Struthio camelus: one gene and its partners. The protein of the gene in region 3 purifies or fractionates together with the protein of the main gene of each other region. This does not show direct contact. Links are inferred from orthologs where the notes say so. Each region holds a gene or a part of one and is shown on either strand. Other genes may lie near its edges. The genes, in order: PIP4P2, PFDN1 and PRKAG3.

Evidence for each region.
Region 1: the proteins of PRKAG3 (region 3) and PIP4P2 purify together in Homo sapiens (affinity purification with mass spectrometry; 3 studies listed by BioGRID and IntAct, with this or other methods). This does not show direct contact. The link is inferred for Struthio camelus from reciprocal best matches to the Homo sapiens genes PRKAG3 and PIP4P2.
Region 2: the proteins of PRKAG3 (region 3) and PFDN1 purify together in Homo sapiens (affinity purification with mass spectrometry; 3 studies listed by BioGRID and IntAct, counting the BioPlex papers as one, with this or other methods). This does not show direct contact. The link is inferred for Struthio camelus from reciprocal best matches to the Homo sapiens genes PRKAG3 and PFDN1.

What each region holds. Positions count from the first base shown.
Region 1 is NC_090943.1:150,597,574-150,605,489, forward strand, and holds the start of PIP4P2 (type 2 phosphatidylinositol 4,5-bisphosphate 4-phosphatase), read left to right. Parts: upstream 1-4,848; 5' UTR 4,849-5,139; coding exon 5,140-5,245; intron 5,246-7,916. UniProt on the Homo sapiens protein: Catalyzes the hydrolysis of phosphatidylinositol-4,5-bisphosphate (PtdIns-4,5-P2) to phosphatidylinositol-4-phosphate (PtdIns-4-P).
Region 2 is NC_090954.1:23,573,337-23,580,767, reverse strand, and holds the start of PFDN1 (prefoldin subunit 1), read left to right. Parts: upstream 1-4,360; 5' UTR 4,361-4,381; coding exon 4,382-4,474; intron 4,475-4,809; coding exon 4,810-4,976; intron 4,977-7,431. UniProt on the Homo sapiens protein: Binds specifically to cytosolic chaperonin (c-CPN) and transfers target proteins to it. Binds to nascent polypeptide chain and promotes folding in an environment in which there are many competing pathways for nonnative proteins.
Region 3 is NC_090947.1:28,380,878-28,388,407, reverse strand, and holds the start of PRKAG3 (5'-AMP-activated protein kinase subunit gamma-3), read left to right. Parts: upstream 1-4,500; 5' UTR 4,501-4,542; coding exon 4,543-4,575; intron 4,576-5,481; coding exon 5,482-5,521; intron 5,522-5,865; coding exon 5,866-6,110; intron 6,111-6,207; coding exon 6,208-6,289; intron 6,290-6,408; coding exon 6,409-6,467; intron 6,468-6,878; coding exon 6,879-6,924; intron 6,925-7,123; coding exon 7,124-7,178; intron 7,179-7,508; coding exon 7,509-7,530. Other genes in the region: tubulin monoglutamylase TTLL4, read left to right, coding at 439-521, 1,362-1,506. UniProt on the Homo sapiens protein: AMP/ATP-binding subunit of AMP-activated protein kinase (AMPK), an energy sensor protein kinase that plays a key role in regulating cellular energy metabolism.

The DNA of each region.
Region 1 (7,916 bases), on a different chromosome or scaffold from region 3:
ACAAAGATCAGGAATTGAGAAGCATTTTCAAAAGACTTGCCAGTCTCTCAAAATATACTCTCAAATTATCCTGGATATCCTGGATACTGTATCATACATATTATATTAAACTGTGTTACCTTACATGTGACCACATATGCAAACCTATAGTTAGTTATTTTAACGTGTTAATTGTTATATTATAACCTATATTTCATATTATACACGATATCGTTATTACATTTCTTAGACTTATGTAAGGTATAAAATTATACCTTGTTATAGACTTAGTCTTGCAGCATAGGATACATCTGTGAATTAAAATCATGAGAGGATTTTGCATTTGCTCTATATGCTGCTCACATTTCCCTTTATGTTTTACAGTTTTTGAAAATTAGCCAGATCTTCTTGTATCCGACTGCACCTCATTTTAATGTAGCGGATCTGGGAAAATATAAGAATAAGCACTTTTCTTTTTTTTTCCCATATACTAACCAAGGAGCAGAAGAGAAATCAATTTACTTCAGTAACACAGGAAAAGAGACGATTAAGACAAACACCATGTATTACAAAAATCTTAGTCACTCAGTTTACCTTCTCCTTCACAGCACTGCTGTATTCAATTTTTGACATGCCTAGAAATTCAGCTAGTCTAACAATCAGCTATAGCCCATAACTAGATCTTTCAAAAATAATTTAAACTAAAATTCTGCAAGCATATTACAGTAGATTTTTATTTTTGTTTTTACTGTCTTATCCAGTACCAAAAAGGGCAATAGAAAGGCTTTTCATTGATTTCAGCCATTCTCAAGTCTGATTTTATCATTCAAAGGTTTAGATGTATAATATGACTTTAATTTGTGTTTACTTAGATTATTATACTGCCTGCATAGTATCTGAAAACTGTGTGTTTCATAACAGAGGCAAATGATCCCAGGTTTTTTCTTTCTTCTTCCTTTAGCCTTTAGGAGGAAGCTTGATCTAGCAAATAGGCCCTTTGATCAGACCCGAGAAAAACAGTATTCCATTTCTTACACAAATAGTGGGATGTTATGTGAACGTGCAATACCCATATTATGACTGTAAACCTACTGAATTTGGGTTTTTTTTTAAATTATAAAAGATCAAGGCAGTGCTCTGTGCGTTTGAACATCTCCTACCACAATGGATTTAGGCTTGCAGTCTAAGCAATACAAAATTTGGATGTTATTTGTTGCTAAATTTAACTCATACATTACAAAGTTACCCGGGAAAAGTCAGTAGAATACCTACGGACTCCATACAATAATTTTTTGCACTATGAGTTACACAGTCTTGATTTAACAAAGAGCGGTAGCTAAACTTTCTATAATGTTGATACGCAAATATTTTGCGCTTGATAATAGCTTCAAAAAGTGCAGTTTTTTTCTCATGCTAAACTAATTTAGTTCTTTCTTTTATCTAGGAAAAATGAAAAACAAAATAACCACTGAGGAAGATAACGTTTTCAAAATGAAAGAAAACTTGAACGTTATCAGGCTTTTCAAAAGGTCACAAAAATGATGCAAAGTAAATAAAAAAATGAAAGAAAATATGCCATGGCATTTTAATTTTATGCCTCTATTTAATATATTCCTTGTTAGTAAGTAATATCCTGTCTTGCTCTGCCCTTACTCATATTATACGTAAGTTCATATGCAACAGCCCAACTTTGGGGCAGGATGGAGCAGTGCATGTGTGATTTAGGTCTGCGACACAGATGAAGGCACTTTGAGAAACCTTTGGAAGATCAACTTCTCAGAGGCATCTTCCCTGCAAGTCTTGTATCTAAAATATTTCCCTCAACTCGAAAAATAATCCTAAATACAGGCATAGCCACCTTGTCCCCAGCAAAAATTCCCTTTGTTGTCAGCTGCCAGCTATAAAAGTGCTCTAACCATTATTCTGTGTATGTAAAACAGCAGTTTCAGTCTATAAACCCCTGCAAAACTAAGAATCTGTTAAAACCACATTCTATTCAGCACGGGCTTTATAGCGGAGGACCTTCAAGATTCATTGGCACCATAAACAGGTAGCGCAATACAACTACGCGGCATACACAAAGGCACACTGTAACTCACAGGTCAAAGGCGCCCAGGGGCAATGAGGTTGAGTGCACAAAAGGAGGTGATGCGCCCTGCATCATGGCCTGTGCTAGAAATGCTGTGGCACTGAATTCAAGCAGGATTTATCATCTGGGTAGCGCAGTCATGAGCAGGGCTGCTCAGGAGAGAGCATCCTTCCCACTGAACAAGGCAGAATTTTAATAGAAGAAAAATTGCACGTGGTGTAATTAATATGTATCATAAGGCATTTGTGTCCAGAGGAAGAAGGACAGGAAGAAAGTAGCAAATTCTCATTGCTTATGTTGTCTTAAATCTGGCATTATCCAGTGCTCGAATTCTTCCCTTTGCAGCCTGAGTAGCATGCACAGAGTGTTTGTTACTAGCTGAAAGTATCGTCTCGTTTGTTTGTGCACCTTTTGGTATCCTCTGTTGTTACTGGCTGGGTCAAACTAACTTGGATATTGCAGATGATGACAGCAGATCTAAACGTCAGACTGCAATGTTTTAGCTGAAATGCAGACATTTAGTTACCTTAAATACAATGGATTCAAAATACTGAAAAAGAGGCAAATGGTTGAACTATTAACTGATTTCTGCTATTTTAGAATGTTTAGCAGCTCCAGCGAATAAAAGATTTAAAGAACTCTGGCAAGTCAGATCACAGGAGCTGGAGAAATGCATTTTTTTTTAAATCTTGAGTGGGTACTTATTTAGATGACAGTCATATTTCCAATAATAGGTCAGCATGCTGGGATGTGAAATAACAATTCTTGCCTGTAAGTGCAGGCTTAAGCTGTTTGGCGGAACTGAGTTGTGACGTAGCTTTCCCTTTGCATAGCTGACAGTGATCTTAGGGATTTTAGTCTCCCTCTGAGGCATGGAACATCAGTTTAGTGGCTAGGTCCCACATAATCAATTTTCTGAAACTGCAGAATGAAATTACAGGATGGAATGGATCTTGGTGGAACTCAACGCTGCCTAGTAAGTGGCTTTAAAAAAAGTATTGTATTTTTTCGCAATCCATGAAAAGTGATAAAGAAACCTGGTTGCAAATGCCAGGTCCTATATTAAAATTCCAAAAGAAAGCCTGTGTCTACCAGTTGAAACGTGGGTATGTGCTAATAAAAACATACAGAACACGTGCTCAAGATACATGTTGACTAGTAAGAGTAAAGACCTGTTCCTAACCTGCTAATATCAGCCTAACAGTAGCTCAGCAACATGAAAGATTTAGTGGTACAAAAAACACTGCAAGGCCTAAAACTCCTCACAGAAAAAGCCTTTAAGTGTTGATTTCATCCTGAGAGAGTTCTTTTTAAGCTGACTGGAAAGTGAAAGTTCAATCCAATTTAAATCAAACAAGCACCTTCCAAGTTAGTTACAACATTTTCTACGGGAAGAGCCAGTGTGACATGGCATGACTCCATTTCCCGCACAGTGAAGATACCTGGCCTAACAGCCAGCTGCCTTGTAGCGTATTGTTCCTTATGTGGTATTTTCAGAGCTAGTTGAAACGCAGTTTATTTGTGCAGCAAATAACAACGTTTAAAAATGTAATTTTGTCCCAAGTGAGACGACTAGGCAATATTTCAAAATTTGCTATAAAATTAAAAATATTTTTAAAATATTACAATAACCTATGAAAATGCTGTGTTTTTACCACAGCATGTTTATTCAATATTATAATTACTAAAGTAAAAATGAATCGTTTCAACCTTACAGAAATAAAATACATCAGCCTCCTTTTCATATATTTTGATTATTTCTCATACAGACTTTCAAATACATCAGTCTATTCTTGTAAAGTAGTTTGATTTCCTAGATTCTATTCTTCTTGTGAAAAACTGCTCCTGCAGAAAATTTTCAATGGGATGTAAATAACAGCACTTTACCTGTAAAAATCATATTTAGGAAGGAATATGACCGGCTAGTGAAATTTCAGACTAGGATATCATCTGATATAGTTTCCCAGTTAAGACTCACTACCCATTTCTTATGAAAATGTCATTTTAAGAAGTGGACTGCACTTTTGGGATGTTAGATAGTACTTGAAAGTCATGACGAAGATCCTCTTTTATTCAAAGTAACTGCAGATCTTGTGGCATTATCACAGTCTGGCTCTGGCTATCTCTAACCTATGGATAATGGATCTGCATGACGCACGGGTGACAAACATCTGCTTATTTCAATGCTGGCTGCAATGGAAAGCCTGTTCCCTGCTCTCTGCCTGGAGGAAAGGCTATTCCCCCCTCTCTGCCCGAGACTTCCAGATGGTGCCTGAGTGGGCTTTCTAGCAGAAGCAAATTTATAAGTCCTGAAGTCCACAGAGAGTTCAGTGACACCAGGCAACCCTTCTCGGATGAACAGCAGATTTTATAGCGTGTAGATTTATCGCCTCACGTTGAAAGCGGAATTAAAGGTCACCTCATCATCTTCGCGCCTCAGTGAGTAGAGTCTCAGCGCGGCCCATCAGTCTCCCTCCTCGACCTCCTGAAAAAGACAACTGGCAACAGCAAAATCAGCTAGTACCTCCCTGTTTTCTTGTTTAACATCTCTTCTCTGACACCCATGTCCGCAAGCCCCCCTCCCCGGCCTTCTCGCCGTTTATTTTTGCGCAGCGCGGGGCAGCAGGGGACGCTGCCTGCAGGCGGCCGGCGCCGCAGCACGTCGCACCGTTAGCGGCTCCCCGCAGCCCCTTCCCGCCCAACCCTCCCTCAGGTGGTCCTTCTGTGCGCCCGGTAGCTGCCAGCGACCGCGGAAGGAAAGCCTGGCCCTGTCGTGACACGCAGGTGAGGGGCGGAGGAGGCCGCAGCCGGCGCCCAGCCCCGGGCAGCCCTGCTCCCGCCGCGCCGCGCCGCGCCGCGCCGCCGGGGCCGGGGCCGGCAGCTCGGGCGGAGGCAGCGCGGCCCGCCCCGCTCATTAGCCCGCGCCGCCCCCGCCGTCTCTCCTCCTCCCTCGGCCCCGTTCATTGCCACCCCCCTTCCCCTGCGCCGCCGGTGCCGGCCGCCGCCGCCGCCCCTCCTCTCCCCGCCCCGCCGCCAGCGAGGGAGCGCGCGGGGCCCTGCCCGCCGCAGTCATGGCTGCTGAGGGGGCGGACGAGCGCTCCCCGCTGCTGTCAGCGCCCGGCTCCGGCAATGTCACCCCCACGGCGCCGCCGTATCTACCGGACAGCAGCCCCCGAGGTAAGGCGGCCGCCCGCCCTCCTTCCTTCCCCGGCCCTTGCGGCGGCGGCGGCGCCGCAGCTCGAGCCGGGGAAGGGGCGGCCGAGGGACGCCGCGGGGCTGCCCCAGCGCGGGCGGCGGGGCTGCCGGGGGGCTGGCCGCAGCCGTGAGCGCCCCGCTGCCGGCGGGGGAGGGGGCGCGGGCCGGGCCGTTGGGCGCGTGCAGGGCCGGAGCCGGAGCCGGGCCGGCCGCGCGGGGGCGCGGGCCCGCCCCGTGGGGGGGGAGGGGGAGGGGGAGGGGGCGGCCGGGCGCCATGTCGCTGCGGGGCCAGGCCGCCCCCGGCCCGGCCGTGCTGAATCAGGCGTTTGCTCCCGCCCTCGTTGGCGGAGGCGGCGCTGCGCCCTGCGGGGGGGGGAACGGCCGCGGGCGGTGCTGCCCCGCTGCTGCGGAGCTGGGCGCAACCTCGAACCTGGGGCCGCCTATTCCTGGCGTTTGCGCTTTTCTTTTTTAATTTATTTTTTGGCGGCCCGTCGGGGCGGGGGGCACCGGGCCGGGCTGACAGGGCCCCTGCTCTGCCCCGGGGGCCGGGGGAGCGCTGGGCCCGACAGGTGCCGCCGTGGAGGAGCGGGGCGGGTCGTGTGTGGCACCCTGCACCAAATCCTAGTAGGAACTCTTCTTTTTAAAAAAAAAAAAAAAAAAAAAAGTTGTTTGCAGTTGCAGAACGAGTTTGAACCAGTCTGGTTATTATAGCTGAGTCGCATGTTGGAGCTTGCAAGGTAATTGTTGGACTTCAGTTCTCCTATTAATTAGAAGTAGGATTTAGGGAAAAGATACCTAACTATGAACAGTTAAATTCCGTACAGTGAGTTGTAGGATGCTAAGCAGTAGAGGCATGATGTAGAGAGTCAAAACAGAACGGATTAAAAGCGCAGACATCTCTATTGCATCTCTAGGGATCTTCAGTGCCCTACTAGGAGGCACCAGCTGATCTGATCTGTTCTTATTCTGGCAGTCAGACTTGAGCCAGTAGCTCTGGGCAATGTGGTACTTGAAGTCCAAAACACTAGGTTGCCCTTGCAAACCGATCGAAGGCCATGGGTGTTTTCAGCTTTATTTTTAAAGCAAGTAGTTAGTTGCAAATCTGGAATAACAACTTCATTTTGTGGTACTCAACTTTCTTGTGCAGACTTACAGAAATCATCTTGTTGATGAATGTTGAACATTTAGTAGTTGGGGGTAACTTAAATAATTCAAATTAGGAGGTAGCAATATGTGACTATACAGCTTCATAAACTTGGTCAGTTTACAAAATACAGTAATGCAAAAATTTTTTTTTTTTTGCGTTCTGCTTTCTTGAAAAGAGTTTAACTGGCTCAAAAAAAGAAAGAAAGGGGGAGGAGGGGCTGAGAGTTGAGACTAAATAAGATTATTGTAGCTTTGCTAGCCTTTTAAATGTAAGATTACAGTCTTGCCCTTTCTGGCTAGAGTGTGTTGGGTACTTCTTAAGGATTTTTATGTAGTTGTATAGATTTATTACATGTCTATGTAAATAGATATGTATGTGTGTGTTGTTCTACATAATAACAATTTCAGAATAAGCTATTTATACATGAAAATACTGTAGATGGGACTGCCAAAGGAAGTCCCACAAGTGAGCGTCTGTGTGTTTTGAGTAATCTTTAAACTAACGGAAATCTGGATCTCTGTGCCTTGATATGAAAATGTATTTCTTTCAGTGCTGTAGCTGATTTTGACTATTAACTTGCATTTGACTTGCACAAACCAGTATTATAGTGAAAAACAGCAGAAATCAGACTTTTTGTCCCCATCAGATTTTGTAGGATTGCTTTCACTCCTTAAGTTGTTGTTGTTGTTTTTTTTTTGTTTTAATTGATATATCTACCTTAACTGACATTTTCCTGTTCAACATTCTTTATTCTTAGCGGTCCTTACTCTGTAACTGATACTGTTGTGTGCATTTCAATCTATTTTAAAAGTCATTATGTATTAAATAAGTGATGAAAATGCATTAGATCAGTTACTAATGTTTGAATGCAGGATAAATCTTGTGACGTACAAACAAGCTGGCCCAAATGCTCGTTTCAGTTAATAGTTGTATCCTGTTGTGTCTCTGGTGCATATCTGTAACTTGTGTTAACTAATTTGGCACAAGTGGTATCTACTCCCTAGGAGAAGATTTTGGTACTTGAGATGAGAAGTGGCCTTGCTTTCAAAAGGGAGGAGGAACCATAGAGCTTTCTTAAATGTCAGACGTATTTTTAAAAGTTTAATCTCTTGCTTAATCAATCCTTAAGTGATTGTACCAAATAGCAGTTCAAATATGCTAGTCTGTTTTGAAAAAAAAAAAAAATTGCACAACAACATTTTGAAAAGGTATTATAGAGACCACATAGCTCTGTATTTGCTCAGCTATCGTTAGCAGCTCCCTGTCTGTGCAAGCTAGACAGCCTTTTTAGCTGACAGACAGTCTTTATCTCTTTCCCCAGCCCACGTCTGGCCTAGGGAGAAGAAGCACTCTCAAGGGGAAATGAAGTTTACTTTTAAAAATGCTTTCCACAGCACTTGCTTGTTAATCAGTAGCTGAATGTTGGGGAGCTGGAGGGGTAGAGGAAGGAGGAAGAAACCCTCTGCCCTCAAAACTACTGTCCGAGTGTACGCTAACAGATTTATC
Region 2 (7,431 bases), on a different chromosome or scaffold from region 3:
GAGATGCTCAGATCTGGCCCAGGCCCATCAGTTTGAGTCTGGAGGTGGAAAGCCAATATTTGCTCTTTTTGGTGAGATGCTGCTCTTACCTTATCTGGTGGGTGTGCACAGGGCTGTTCCTCACGCCGGCATGGCCCAGTTGCTGGCACAGATTACTGCTTCTGCCTTCACCTGGAAATTTTTCCAGCCTTGGCCTGGTCAGACTTCCCTCCCACGATGTTGTTTCACCTGACATATCTCCATGCCAGTGGTTGCACCTTGGCCCTTCTGGTTTATTCTCCAGCACCAAGGAACTGAGAGGTGCAGAAGGAGGCTGCTCAGGGGAGAGGCATGTGCAGTGGCTGGAGCTGCCTGCTCCAACTCTGAGCTTGGTGGGTAGCAGTGCAGTGCTGGGGGCCCAATGGTAGTTGCAACACCTTGAAACACCTCTATGCTCAGGAAGGCATAGAAAAAGGCAGACTGGCTCTTGGAGCAACGCTGAAGGGTTCCAGGTCTGCTCTCAGGCTTGCAAATCACCAGTGGCATATGTAAAGTTGGGAAGCTGGGCAGAAGTCTGCCTTGCGTGGTGGCTTGGAGCAAGCACCAGTGTATCACAGAGCACTTGCCTGTGCTGAGATGGGAGGGAAGAGCTCGCTTGGGTCACCACACTGCAGATCCCCTGGGCTGAGGCATCATTGTTCACTCCTGGGCATCCTCCAGCCTTTTGTGCTATAAATTGCCAATGACTCAGGCAGCAGGACGTTCAGGCTCCCCCGAGGAGGCCAGGCCACTGCCGTATAGAATTAGCTGCTACAACTCTTCCTGCTATTCAGTGAAAGGTTTTCCTTTTCTCTGCAGGAAGTGTTATGTGTTGGATACACCAGGATCCGTGGGGCAGAGTAGCAAGAGGAACTGGGTTACAACAGCCATCAGTGTCTCAATAGTTGGAGGTCTTAGATAGGGGGATTGAAGAGAAATATCTCTGCTACATCCAAGGCTTGGGGTTGAATCAATTCAGAGCACGTGTGGTCTTCAGAGCATGGAAAAGGGAAATGGCACGAGGCCTGGATTTGTTCTCATCTTGGGGCAGGTGCAGTGGGTTGCAACAGGAACTGCTTGTCCCTAAAGGTTGGATCTTGCATTCTGCTTTTAATTAATGGTGTCCAAAGAGGTTGCCTCCTGCCTGCCTCAGATTACAGAATGGTACACTGGGTATTTTAATTTTTGCTGCCTTCCCCTAAAAGACTTCTGATAGCCTCATCATGATCTCACCTCTTCTCCCAGCCCAGCTGGGCAAACTCCAAGGAAAACTCAGGCTGGAGGGAGTGATGGTGATTAATTAGTGGGCGCGCATGTGGGTGAGTCAGGCTGCATCAGTAAGGCAGCACAGTGCTGAGGGGGTCACCAGGCAGCTGAAACAGCTTTCTCTGCATGAAACACCATGCTGCCATGCTGACCACATGCAAGAAATGGATTCCCCTGAGGATCTCACCACGCCACCAGCATTAACTCAGTAACTCCACCAGGCAAGGACACAATGCTTCTCAACCTCCCCCTCAGCTTTTAATTGGATTCAAGATCGTCTGGCCCTCCCAGTCCCAGACTGCTGCCATGTGCCCTTACATGCCTCCTACTTTCACTGCTGAAGCAACTGCCTTTCTGCAGAGGGTGAAATGACCTGGCCTCCTTCCCTCCTGCAGCATCTCAACGCCTGTCTGGATGACAGGGCTGTGTCTGACTGCCAGGTATTATTAATAAAGCATCAGTCTGGCTCTGGTTTTAGCTACTGCTACTGCTTTTTGATCTGTCCCTTGTATCCCCCTGGCTTTGGGATCCTCTCCCAGAGTCTGGCTGGGGGTGCCTTTCCTGTTCAATGAGTAATGAGACAGGCAGCCCGCGTTCTCCACTGTGTCTGGTACAAAGCCTTCCCTTAGCAGGACCTCTTGCAGGCTTGGCAGGAGCAGGCAGGCTAGAGCCTGTCAGTAACAGATCACCTCCTTTCTCTGTGTTTCTGTAGAGAGAGATGGCCTCACACAACTATTATGCACCAAAAGGCAATGTTGTAGCTAATCATTTGACGAACTAGTTCACTTCCTTGGCATCGCATCTAAACTGCCAGCTCAGCAGAAGGCTCAGCCACAAGCTCCAGTTCTACCCTGAGACACACGAGACCCCCGGCTGTATATCACCCCCTTGTGTGACAGCGACTGTGCGCTGGCAGAGTTATCCTAGTTGTGTCAGGGTCTGCATCTGCCCTTGCATCTGGCAGCATCTACAGATGGGGTTTAAGCCACTGGTACGGCCCACCAGGACTTAGGAGTTACCCAATGCCAGAGCCACCTTGGAGTGGAGGTCACACAAGGCTGCTGTTAGGCTGCTGTTAGGCTCCTTAGCCCCGCCAGACCTCCCCTGCAGCCATGCAGAGCCAGCCTGGGTTGTTAGTAGACGTCTACTGGATGGTGGATGAGGCTGGCATGAGAACCACACAACCTAACTGTGTATCGCACGACATAGTGGGGCAGCGTGGGATAAACGTCCATCCAGCTATACCAAAGAGCTTCACCCCTGACCCAGAGGGCCTTCCCTGCCTGTAATCCTTGTGACTCATGCATTCAAGGCCTCTTGGCCAAGCTGCATGTTTGGGAATTGGAACAAGACCTTGCTTTGGAAATAGGGCGTTTATTGGCAGCCTGTAGCTGGGAAAGAGCTCCTTCCAGTGAGATAAAACAGCAATGAAGTTTATTGGAGAAAGGCAAATAAAGATCCTCTTTAGCCAGTGGAACCCACTGATACATGAAACTTCCCCTCGATGTTGGCAAACCCTTTATAGATAAGGTATGGCCACCCATGTGAACACCTGCCCCCCAGGATATCTTGATTCCCATTTTTCTGTTCTGGACGTGACTCAGTTCCTTGCCAGCCCCATGATACTTTTAGCTTGGCTGCGTAGCACTGCATAAACAGTCAAACACATGGACAGGCTTCATGAGTCCTTGGGTCCAGCAGATGGGCATCTCAGTTCAATGACAGAGCCGGCATGCTGTCCCCATGAGGGGTACCTGCAAGGGCTTGACAGCCTCTTGAAACAGCTTCAAAGCCTCCCAGGAGACTGTAATCACACACCTGGTCCCCAGGAGAGGCTGAGTCCCTTCATAGGAAGGGCAGCTCCATCCCCTCTGGTTTTCTTTTCCTGCTCTTCCAATACATTTTCTGCTTCACAAAGGCCATATCTCTCTGCTCCAACATGGTACCCCAGCTTCCTGCTGAACTGGCATGGCCAAGAACACCCATAATGGGATCAGCTCTTTGGGGTGACCTCATCTGCACACCACTCAACAAGGTCTCACTGCTGACCAGTGAGGTGTCCATGTGGCCCAGTAAAGCATCTGTGTGGCAATGAGGCATCTGTACAGCAAGGTACCTCCATGGCACAATGAGGCATTCTGTTGCCTAGCAAGGTGTCTCTGTTGTCTGGAGAGGTGTCCCTGTGGCTCAGCAAGGCATTTCTGTTGTCCAGTAAGGCATCCGTGGAGCTCACAAGGCATCCTCACTGCACTATGAGGCTACCACTTGCCTTGCTGAGGAGTGCAGGCAGCCAGGTGAGGCAATTGCATGGCCTGGCAAGGTGACCCACCGCTCACTAAAGCATCCAGACTGCCTGGCGAGCCATCCATGCTGCCTGTGAGGCATCCTCGTGACCTGATGAGACATCCCTGATGCTTGGCAAGGCATCTGCCTAGCCTGGGGAGGTGCTGATGTGTCCATGCTGCCTGATGAGGTGTTGCTGTGGCCTGGTGAGATGTCTGTGTGGCCTGCTGAGACATCCCTGCTGCTTGGAGAGGTGCAGGCATGTCCCAGACAGGTGTCAAGGAGTCCCTGTTGCCCAGTAAGGCATCCTTCCAGCCTATTGAGGTGTCCCCACTGGCCAGAGAGCCAAGCTCATGTTAGCAGCCCCCAGGTGCATATAGGTGCCATAGCAGTGGGTGCCACCAGACCCGCTGCACTCAGCCATCCCCTACCAGTCCCAGCCCTGCCCGGGCTGTCCTTGCCACAGAGAGCAGGCAGCGGGCAGGAGGCAGCACCGGGGCCAACCAAGACTGCAGACCCCCCGGGTGTCCTTGTGTCCCCGTGGCCGTGGGGCCCAGCCTATGCAGGCTCCCCAGGCCTTGGTCTGCCCTCCATGCCCCGGTTGAGGGCACAGCTGCTGGCAGGGAAGTTGCTGGGCCCCCCTCCCCAGGGACACACCAGGGCGCTCCCTAGAGCCCCCATCACTCCAGGATCCCCTCTTGCCCCTAGGATTCGCCCCTCCTCGCCAGTTCCTCCCTTCCCCCCACATTTCCCCCCTCCCCCCAGGTTCCTCCTCTCCCCACGCTCCCCTCTCCCAGCCCTCCTCCCCGCGCGCATGCGCACCTCAACGCGGCTCCCGCGCTCCCCCACTGCGCAGGCGCCGGGGGCAGACAAGATGGCAGCGCCCGTGGACCTGGAGCTGAAGAAGGTACCGGGGACTTCCCCCTCCTCCCCGCCCGGGGCCGCAATCTGCCGCGTTCTCCTGCCTCTCTACCCTCCGCTGCGGGGGTCTGGCCGCCTCCGTGGCCGGGGAGTGTCCCATCGCCCCGGTTGGGTGTTCCCGGGTAGGGCTTTGCGCGGTCCCCTGTTTTGGGGCAGCTTGGGGCCCGCCGCGGCCCCCCGGCGGCCTAGCCTTAGCGGCCTGGGGGCTCCCGGCCTCTACCCCGGCCTGGCAGCCCCAGCCTAGCCCCAGCCTCGCCTGGAACGGCCCTGGCCCCGGCCGGGCGGCCTCAGCCCCTCACCGCTCCTGCTTTCCCCCTTCAGGCCTTCACGGAGCTCCAGGCCAAGGTAATAGATACGCAGCAGAAAGTGAAGCTTGCCGACATCCAGATCGAGCAGCTGAGCAGGACGAAGAAGCACGCGCACCTCACTGACACGGAGATCATGACGCTGGTGGATGAGACCCGCATGTATGAGGGTGTAGGGAGAATGTGAGTATCATACTGGCCTGTGGGGCGAGTAGGGGAAGGCCTCATCGCTGTACTCTTCCAGACTGCTGAGAAAACAGCTCACAGACGCCTTGTGCCTACCTTGTGCTGGTAGTCAAATGAGGTAGCAGTTATAATGGTAGCCTTGCATATGGGGAGACGTTCCTTGCCTCAGTACTTAAAAGGCCTAAGGCTGCTGCCTCAGGCCAAAGATTCTTCCCTACTGTATGGCTGCTTCATGAAGAATATAGCGTGTGTGCATCCATTGAGGCATACTGGGCTTTATCTCTTGGCATCAGTTGCCAGCAGTCTTTTTTACAACTTTTATTGCCTTTGTGTGCTTTTGCTTTTTGGCTTTGCTCTTGGCCTTAATGGTCTTATTTGGACTGTCTGGAAATTTTGTAAGCTAGATTGCTAGAACAGGGTTCTAGTGACAAACTGTGTTTGCAAGAAGATGTCACAAACCTATGTAGCCATTCGTGATGGAATAGTACACCATTCCTGACGTAGTTCACGTCAAACTCTCTCAAAAACACCCATGCCCTTATGCAGTGCATATACTCAGGGCTCTGCTTGCACAAATGTTCTACAGAAATGCAATATCATGTCAATGAATGTCAGTGCTTGCCATTGGCCAGATTTTTTTAAAGACTTGTAAGAGAGCGTGAAGCTTGTTTGCAGTCGCTGTGCAGCTGTAAAGAAAGTAGTACTTTGATGTGTTGGATGGATATCAAAACATCTTAGACTAGAATTAACATGTTTTGATTAACTCTGACAACCCACTTCTGTTTGACTTTAACAGCCTCTTATAGAAGACCACACAAACCAGTTTCAAAAGCTGATAATGCATGCTTACTAAATAAACATCACAGTAACTTTGTGCAAGACTTGAGAGTACTGTGATTTTTCTGTTTCATTGCAAGTTGGGTAACAGGGATGACTATGCTTAGCTAGGGATGTGGTTTTGTGAAACACTGAATCTGATGTAACTGCTGCCAAAAGGGATGATTGTGTCTACTTCTTCCCCACCTGTGTTTCCCCTACCTTCTCTGTGTTGAAGTAGGTGATTGCGCAACCATGCAGTGAGTTTCATCAGCTTGCTGATTCAGTGAACAAGTTGTTCACCAAAAATGCCCTGGTCTGCCTTCCGTCTGACCACAAAATCTCTAGATCCAGTCTCAGAAACTGGAACTGGGAAGTGAGGAATGGTACGCAGATTGCATTTTACTGTGAGTTTTCAGATGAGACCAATGGAAAAACGAAGTTGTACCCAGACTTACGGAGATGCTCAGTGTGACACGCAGCATCCTTCTGAATTGCGTTGTATGGCTCCGACTTGCATTGTGTGGCTCCCAGTAAATAAATTTTTCCATGCAGTTGAATTAGATGTTCGGTTTGTGTGGGGATGTTAGCAACTGGTACCTCTAAAGGAAACAGATTTTTGTCCCCTTTCAAGAGGTGGAGTGACTGTAATATGGTCTGGGAGCAGGCTATAGGTGTAGAGAACGCTAATGTTCAAAGCAGTGTGACAAGACAACTCATAAGGGATTGTGTTTTTTGGTTTTTTTGTTTGGTGGGTGGGAGTCACAGCAGACAAACTAAGAGCAGAAGATAATTTTGGAGGTTCAAAAATATATATTTTAATCTTAAAGCTAAATACTTCTGTATTGAAAAATCATACAGATTAATTTAAAAGAGTGAGTGTATCAGTCTTTACGATGAAGTAAAGTAGTATTGCTCGCAAATGAGATGTGAGTGGCAAATGGTATCGGTTCCTGCACTGGCTGAATTGCATCGTGCTGCTTTCTATTTCTCTTCCACTTATGAGACACCTTTCTTCTTTGCTTCCTAGACCACTTATGCTTTTTCTGTTTGCAGTAGTTGCTGGAGTGAGTGTCTTTTAGGGGGTCATACTCTGCCTGCCTTTCCATGACCAGATAGGGTGCTGTAGGCCCTGCTGGGCAGCTCTCTATTCCTCCGGGATGGTAAGGGTGCTAACTGAAGATATTTGCCTTATGATAGCATTTAAAGGCTGGACTCTTTATGGGTTTTGTTGCATCAGTCACTATGCAAATGCAGATTAAGAGATTGCTCTCGCTGTAAATACTCTTCAGTCACTGAAGTTTGTTTGTTTGTTTTTTCTTCTTTACCTTGATATCATGGTATTTCTGAGCTCTGCCTATTCTAGCCATGGCATTGAAGGATGTCTCGCAAATTGGCATTCTGTTCTGGTAAGCTCTGGGTCACTCTCCAGTGTGAAGATCTCACACGAGGAACACAAGACTCTTCCTGTAACCACTTCTGACCACTAGCAGAGAATTTATTGCTGAAATTCAGGCATTTGGTGAAGCAGGCTACAGATACATTTAAGCAGGAGCTAATTCAAGGGCAGTCTGCTATCTTGTGTTCCACAGGAGACCAAAGGAAGTGGTTATTAGAGTTCTTCTGGCTGCAAAAT
Region 3 (7,530 bases):
TATCTTCCTCTAATGCGAAGTCCACTCGATAAATTAGATCTGCAAATCGTTTGCATCTGAATATCCTTGGGTGCGCTGGGCACAGCCCCAGATATTTGGCATCTTGTCAGCCCTATGTTTCCCTCTGAGAGAACAATCTTTCTGTCACTCCTGTGCCTTAAAACAGGCTCATGCAGTGAAAGAAACCCACTCTTTTGACCTCAAGATGCATGCAACAGGGGGACTCATTAAGCAGAGTGCAAAGACTGCTCTGTTTGCTATTCTGGGAACAGACTGGTGGCAGTGATGATGCATGGCGGTGTGAGGGCAGTTTAAACTCAAAAGCACTAGGGCAGCCTATAGCAGAGCCCAGCCTGCTTGGAGCACAGCAGGGCGAGGAATTTTGCCATATATCAGCAACCTGGGTAGCCGCTTGATTGTCTTTATCTCCTCCTGCAGTGGTCATTGCCAAAGTCTTTCTTCCTCCAGAAAAGCAACATTCAATCAAATGGTTTCAGCAAACTGGAACTGGGCAGACTGGGGTGAGTTTGCACTGGCTGTGATATGTGTGATGTTTGCAGTGTAACTTTAGGACTGGTGTTATGAGAGAGAATGGGCACCAAGGAAAGCAGCTTTGTTTAGGAGGAGAGGAACAGGTTGGCTTATGGGGTCAGCCTTGGCTTTCTGTATAGCCAAGTGGTAGGGTTGATGAAGTGTCTACAGGACTGGACATGTCTCCATGGCACTGTGTGTCCAGCTCTGATGGCAGTGAGGCTCGAGGGGAAAATGGCTGGGCTGGGTGATGTTTGGAGAGCAGCTGTCGTGGGGAGGACACGGAGAAGAGATGTTCCCCAGGGGGACTTGTACCACCTCTGTGGGCTCTGGCATGGCCAGCAGTGAGTGGAGGCTCTCATGAGGTCTGTCCCCCAACGTGGGGCTGGGAGAGCCTCCCTCACTGGGAGGCCTCCTGGGCTGCTACACTGTGCCAGCTTCCCTGAGCAAAGCTGGACTGCAAAATAGGCACTGCTGGTTCACTCGGATGAACCCCCGTCCTCCATCTCTGTGCAGGCAGCTGTCTGGGCCAGTGGGACAGGCACACCACTGGTGTCTGGTGTTAAAGGGACAGGGATCCCTGCCCTTGTGCCTGGGACAGTATGCAGTTGGCTTTATGTGCAGCCAACTCTTGCCCTAATGTCCTCTCCACTGTCTTGGGTGTCTGTTGGGGTGATTGGTGCTGCCTGGGAGAGGGATGGAGTAGGGGAGCCCGGCAGCCTTGTTTTCTGAGGCTATATGTGATGGTATCACAGACGAGTGTTCTACCAAGCCCCCTTTGATCCTTTTTCATTGTTCCTAAGCAGCATGGGGTCTCCTTTCTCTTGCAGCAAACTCCTCCCTTCAAGAGAAGATGAGGACCCCGCAAGAAGCCTGGAGCCCAGCCCTACACAAAGTTTACCTCTCAACAAGTGCACTGGTGGAGCTGGCCAGAAACCTGCTGGCTGCCTCTCAGACACTACCCTGGTGATGTGATTAGGCAGCCACTGTCCCTCCTTGGGGACACCTGAACCTACCTCAAAGGAAGAGAGAGGAGCTGGCTCCAGAGACCAAGGACTGTGGGAGCCCCTTGCACTGCCCACTTGCTTGTGGGATGTTTTTAGAGAGGGATGTTTTACTAGGCAAAGGGGAGAGCTGTTCAGCTTCAGATTTTTAAAACAAAAGAAATCTCCAAATGGCAAAGCCTGGGGAAGTCTGATTTGTCTGGCCTTTGTCTTAGGCTTTTGTTAAAGCCTGATGTGGTGGCAGCTTCTCTGCTGCGTGGGAGCTGGCTGAGCTTGGAGTCAGCCCGGCCTTCCCTTTTGCAACCAGCATGGGCTGAGCCCTTGCTTGCCTGTGTCACCCTGCACTAGTCCTTAGCTGCTAGGAGCCCAGCAGAGCTGAATCTTCTCTGGCCTCAGTGCAGCCTGGCCCCAGGGGAGAGACCGGTAGCCCCAGGAGAAAAAAGCTACCCCAGTTCCCCTGCCACTGCTCAGCTCCTCTGGGAGGAGTGGGGTTTGAGACTTTTAACTGACCTGTTTTATCTTTTCAGAAAGCCTGTGCCAAGATCCTTCCCTGCTGCCCTCCCCCAGCCTCGGAGCCTGGAGAAAGCCTCAGGCTTATGCGTCACCACTGCTTGCCTGCAAAGAGAAGCCGCAAATTCTAGTGCGGCCTACTGTGTGTAGTGGGGCCAGTACAGCTGCCAGGAAGGGGGCATCCTCTCAAGGCTCTTGGCTTTTCTGGGTAATCCTGCAGTGTGTGCACAGGGGCCGCAGGCTGGTGCTGCTGTTGTGGGCTCTGATCTGTTTTCCCTTTGTTTCTCGAAGATCTCCATTAAAGTTTAGCACTCTCCGCTGCTCTCATGGACTTGACCTTGTTGCATTTTCCTGATGCATTTGGGTACAGAGGGCAGCTCTGCTTCCCCCATGCTCTGTCAGGCTCAGGTGCAGGCAAGGTTTGTGCCACCTCTTAGCCCTTCCCCATAGTCAGTGAGGGCTCCTCCATCCCGCCCCAGCCCAGGGCTCGGGTAAACATGGCTGTAGCCTGACTCTCCCCTTAGGTAAGGGAGCAGCTCCTGGTGTTGCAGCTTTGCTCTGGAGTCTGCCTTGTGTCCCAGTGCCAGTCTGCTTCTGCCAGAGGTGCTTAACCAAGGTCTGCACAGCTTGGCCAGGACTGGTTTCTCAGCCCCAGGCTGGGCTTGATCCGGGGCTTTTCCTTCTCCTGCCAGGGCTATATGGGCTGAGGCAGGCACAGGCTTGGGCAGCACAATGAGAGCCAGTGCTGCGAGAGGTATGTGCTGCGTGCTCTGCTCCCGCAGGCGTCCCCACGGCTGGAGGAGGCTTTAGTCCCAGCTCCTGGGCCTCTGCACTTCAAAGCCTGGGTTTGGGGATGAATGAGCTCAGCCTGGGGCTGAGAGAGGCACTTGGAGAGCTCCTCTCTCTTCCCTGGTGTGTAAATCCCTCCCTGCGCTAGGGGGAAATGCCAGGCTCTCAGGTGCTCCCAGCTGGCCTGTGCAGCAGGTTTTATCCCCTAAAGCTGCATGTCGTCTTCCCCAGGCTGGGCAGCCCCCCTCAGGGGAAGGGGTTGCTCTGGGTCGGTGCCAGGTGAGGTGCTGAGTACAGCTCCTGAGGCACTTGGGCTTGCAGAAAGCCCTTCTCTCCTTGTAGCCCCCCAGTGCCTGCAACTCGGTCTGTGTTTCTCCAGTCTCCTTGGTGATAATCTCATTGCTCCTCGGCTTCTCTCCAGCACCCTAAAATAGCTGCTGGGGTGCGAGCGTGAAAGGGGAGAGGCACGCTCCCTTCCCTGCTGCCAGCACCCCTTTGGTGGCCAGGCTGGAGCCGGGCAGCCCTGGCTCAGCAGCTGCCTCTTACAGCTGCGCTATGTGGCCTGTCCCCATTGCACCCTCTGTGTTGCTGCAGGGCAAGTGCCAGGCTGGGCTACCTGCTGTGCCCTTGTGCCACCCTGGCCTGAGCTGTGCCCTGGTGCTGTTGCCCAGCACCTAGTTCCCTGCCCTCGTCCCTCCTTTTCCTCCCTGCACCCCACCTCTTGAGGCAGGGGCTTTGCCCCTCTTACCCTTGGCTGGGTGCTTGGGGCTGGCTCCCTCCTCCCTTCTTGCATCCAGTGGGTATTTTGGGAAGCTGTTGGCTGTGATTTAAACCCCCCTGGCCCAGCCTGGCAGCATCTCCCACTTGCTGCACTGTGAGCAGGTGACCCCCCCCCCCAGCCCCCCTGTAGGCGAGGCTGCAGCCGTCCCCACGGGTCAGCTGGAGCCACTGTGTTCCCTGGGCTGCCGGGGGGCAGGACCAGTGGCCACAGGCCTGCTCGCCCACGGTTGCTCCCAGCCTGGCATGGCAGCTGGCCAAGGGGTTATTTGAACCTTCCTGAAATAGAAACGGAGCTGGGAGCAAGTAGAGAGTGGGAGGGGGTGGCCCAGGGGGTGGTTCCCCCCCCCTCCCCGGCAATGGGATCCCCCCCCATCATGAAACCTGTGGGGAAAGGCTGAATCCAAGAGGAGGCCAGTGCAGTGTGGGACCCAGGGGCAAGGGGACCAGGGTCTGGGCTGCGCTGTACCCCATCCCCAGCTGCACTGGCTGCCCCCAGCCCGGGGCAGGGGCCTGCCCTCCTCTTGCACCCCTGGGGGAGGTGGGGGTACAGTAACCCCCTCCCTGGTCCTGCTGGCATCCCTGGAGGCAGGCAGGCTGGGGGGCAGCATGGTCCAGGCACAGACAGCCCCAGGGCATGCGGGACTGCATCCTGGGAGGTGCTGAGTGCTGCCCCTGGAGGAAAGGGGTCTGCAAGGGGCAGGTTTTCTGCCAACGGCTCATCTGTCCATCGCCCCCTTGCATCCCTAGGGCCGCCGCCATCCCTTCCAGCCCACCGCCCCCAGCAGGTGCCGCGGTCCGGGGCGGCGCGGCGGCTCCCCCTCCCTCTCCGCGGTGGCGGGGGCATGGCTGGCATTGCTCACTGACACCCTATCTGCCAGGCCCCGGAGCAGCCGCGGGCCCAGAATAGCAGCGCTGCCCTGCAGTCGGCATGGAGCAACTCCCGGGCCCCGCTGCTCCCCAGGTACTGTAGGGGTGAGTGGGGGGCCTGGCCCGGCAGCCCCCCTCGTGGGGACATGGGCAACCCTAGGTGGGAGGCTTGGAGGGCTGATAGCCCCCTTCCCGTGGCCAGGCAGCCCTGGGGACAGGGGTCCAGAGCACAGCCCGACTTGGGCGCCTCCCCCAGTTTGCTCCAGCCCCACGGGAACGTTTGGGGTCGGGGCGGGAGGTGTTTTGGTAGGGTCACCTCCTTCCTGCGGTTGGATTTAGCTCCCTTTTGGAGCGGTCCATGGAGCTGTGTTCGTTTGTAAACATTGGCTCTGCCAGCAGGTTTGTGATCCGGGATTGCCGTTCCTGCTGCGCGTGCTGCTTTGTTATGGTAGGGTCTCCTGGGGGCCTGGTGGGGGCCCAGGGCCAGCCAGCTCGCCGTGCTGCTGTCCCTCTGCCTGGGGCTGCCTGCGCTGCTGTTGTAGGGTCTCCCCGGGGCGGCACCAGGCAGACCTGCTCCCCAGGTGGCAGGTGGGGCTGGCTGGGTGCCCAGCATCGCCCGCCCCGCTCGGGTGGGCCAGGCCTAGGATTTACACCGTGGGGGCCGGGGGAGGGAGAGGAAGGGCGCAGAGCCGCTGCGGGACCTGCTGCTTTCACACAGCAAAGAGAGGACCCAGGCGTCCGGGGCTCGAGCCACCACCCGGAGAGCAGGCTGAGCCACAGGCCGGCTGGGGCTGGGGGGCTTTGGCCCCACGGGGGCTGTCATGGCAGGGCCCTCTGGGGGGGACTGGGGGCTGCTCCCCATCTCTGCTCTGGTCCAGTCTGCCTGGCTTGGCCCTGTGGAAGGGGGAGCTGGGCCAGCGGGACGGGTGCAGGCAGCACCCTCGGGTGGGGGAGAAGGGGGGCTGGCTCCTGCTGACGCCCCCTCTGTGTGACCCCGCAGATGTCGCTGCTGGACGCAGCTGCCCGCCCGGAGGAGGAAGGTGGGTAGCAGGCAGCGGGGCGAGCGGGGCCTCTCCAGGTGGGGTGGGGGCTGGCTCACGCATGCAACGTGTGCGTCCATCCTCAGCTCGCCCCCGGCCCCCGCGCAGCGAGCCCTGCCCGTGCCCCTTGTTACCCCCTCCTGCACCCCTTCCTAGCTGCTCCCAGGGTCCGCCAGGCCCTGCAGCTGGGGAGCTGCTGCGCTACGTGCAATCCCTCTCCCCGGGGGCTGGGGCGCTCTGCCGGCCCCAGCGGGGCAGTGGAGACAGCATCTCCCCCCACAGCATCCCCTCGGTCCCCTCTGCTGAGACCTGGCAGCTCAGCTCACCACCCGGGGCTGGGGCAGGTCCAACCACAGGGTTCCCGGAGGCACCGCGCACCAGGGAGGAGGAAGAGGAGGAGGACAGGCGGAGGGGCGCGAGGCCCGTCGCCTTCACGTTGGGCACCGAGATGCTGGGGCTGGGGCCGAGCCCGGACAGCGAGTTTCAGAGCCCCGACGCCGAGGTCTACATGCACTTCATGAGGAGCCACTGCTGCTACGACGCCGTCCCCACCAGCTGCAAGCTCGTCGTCTTCGACATCACCCTGGAGGTGAGGCTGCGGGGCACCGCGGGGGCCTGAGGGTCTGCAGGGACCGGGGAAGAGCAGGCTCGGGGACCCCCGACACCTCTCTCCGTGCTGCCGGCAGATCAAGAAGGCCTTTGTGGCGCTGGTGGCCAACGGGGTGCGAGCAGCGCCGCTCTGGGACAGCAAGACGCAGAGCTTCGTGGGTGAGCGCCGGCAGCAGAGCGACGCCCCTTCCCCTGCCTGGCGGCTCGGCGGCCCCGGGCCGTGGCCGCAGGGCTGCGGGCTGCCCCCGCCGTGGTGCCAGCCCCACGTGTCCCCGCAGGGATGCTCACCATCACTGACTTCATCAACATCCTGCACCGCTACTACCGCTCGCCCCTGGTGAGTGCCGGCGCGGAGGGCACGGCGTGCCGGGGAGGGCACGGGGCAGAGGCAGCCCTCGGGCAGGGAAGGGGCTGTCCGTGGCCCAGCTCCCTGCGGACCGGCAGCTCCTCTTTTCCCCTCAGGGCTAATTTTTGCCCTGGGGGTGCTCTGAGCCAGCCCCGTGCCCGGCGCGGACCGCTGCACCCGGCAGGGGTAGGGCTCGGCGGTGCGTCTGCCCCCCCAGAGGCTGCCGGGGTGCAGGCGGGTTCGGTGCCCCGTGCCGGGCACCCAAGGGGTCCCCGAGACGTGATCCCCGTGCTCAATGAGACGAGGTGGGCTGGCCGGGGAAGGGGCAGCAGGCAGGGCTCGCTCCCCCCCTCCCGGAGCCCCGCGGCCGCCAGCCGTGACGGAGGCTCTCGCTGCCCTCAGGTCCAGATCTACGAGGTGGAGGAGCACAAGATCGAGACGTGGAGAGGTACAAGCGGGGGTGTCGGGACGGGGCACGTCGCGCTTGGCGTGGTGGCGGGCGCTGGGCTGGGGGTGGGGGGTGAGGCAATGGGACACAGGGGCGCGCGCGGCTGCACGGAGGGGTGGCGAGGTTCGGGGAGCGGGGGGGAGCCAGCCCTGCTGCTGGCGCCATGGGGGCCCCCGCTCTCGTCTCTCTCCCTTCCCAGAGGTGTACCTGCAAGGCTCCTTCAAGCCGCTGGTGCACATCTCCCCGAGCGACAGGTGAGTCCCTGCCCTGCGGCGGGGGCGCCGGCCCCGGGGCTGCCCGCCGGCTCCGCTCTGCGCTGCAGCCCGCTCGCCGCCTCCGCGAGGCCTCGACGGCCTGCAGCCCCTCGGGGCCGTGCTGGGGCTGCCCCTTGCCGGGGCCGGCTCCGGCGGCGGGGAGCCGCGGGGAGACGAACGCAGGAGGCCGGGTGCCCCGGCTGCCCTCGGCTGCAGCGGGTGGGGGCCTGCGGAGCGGTGGCCCCGGGGGGGGGGGCAGTGCCCGGGGTGCTCGGGGGTTTGGCGTGCACAGCCGCCTCCCCCTCCCTACGGTGTCCCCGTCGCCTACAGCCTCTTCGACGCCGTCTACTCC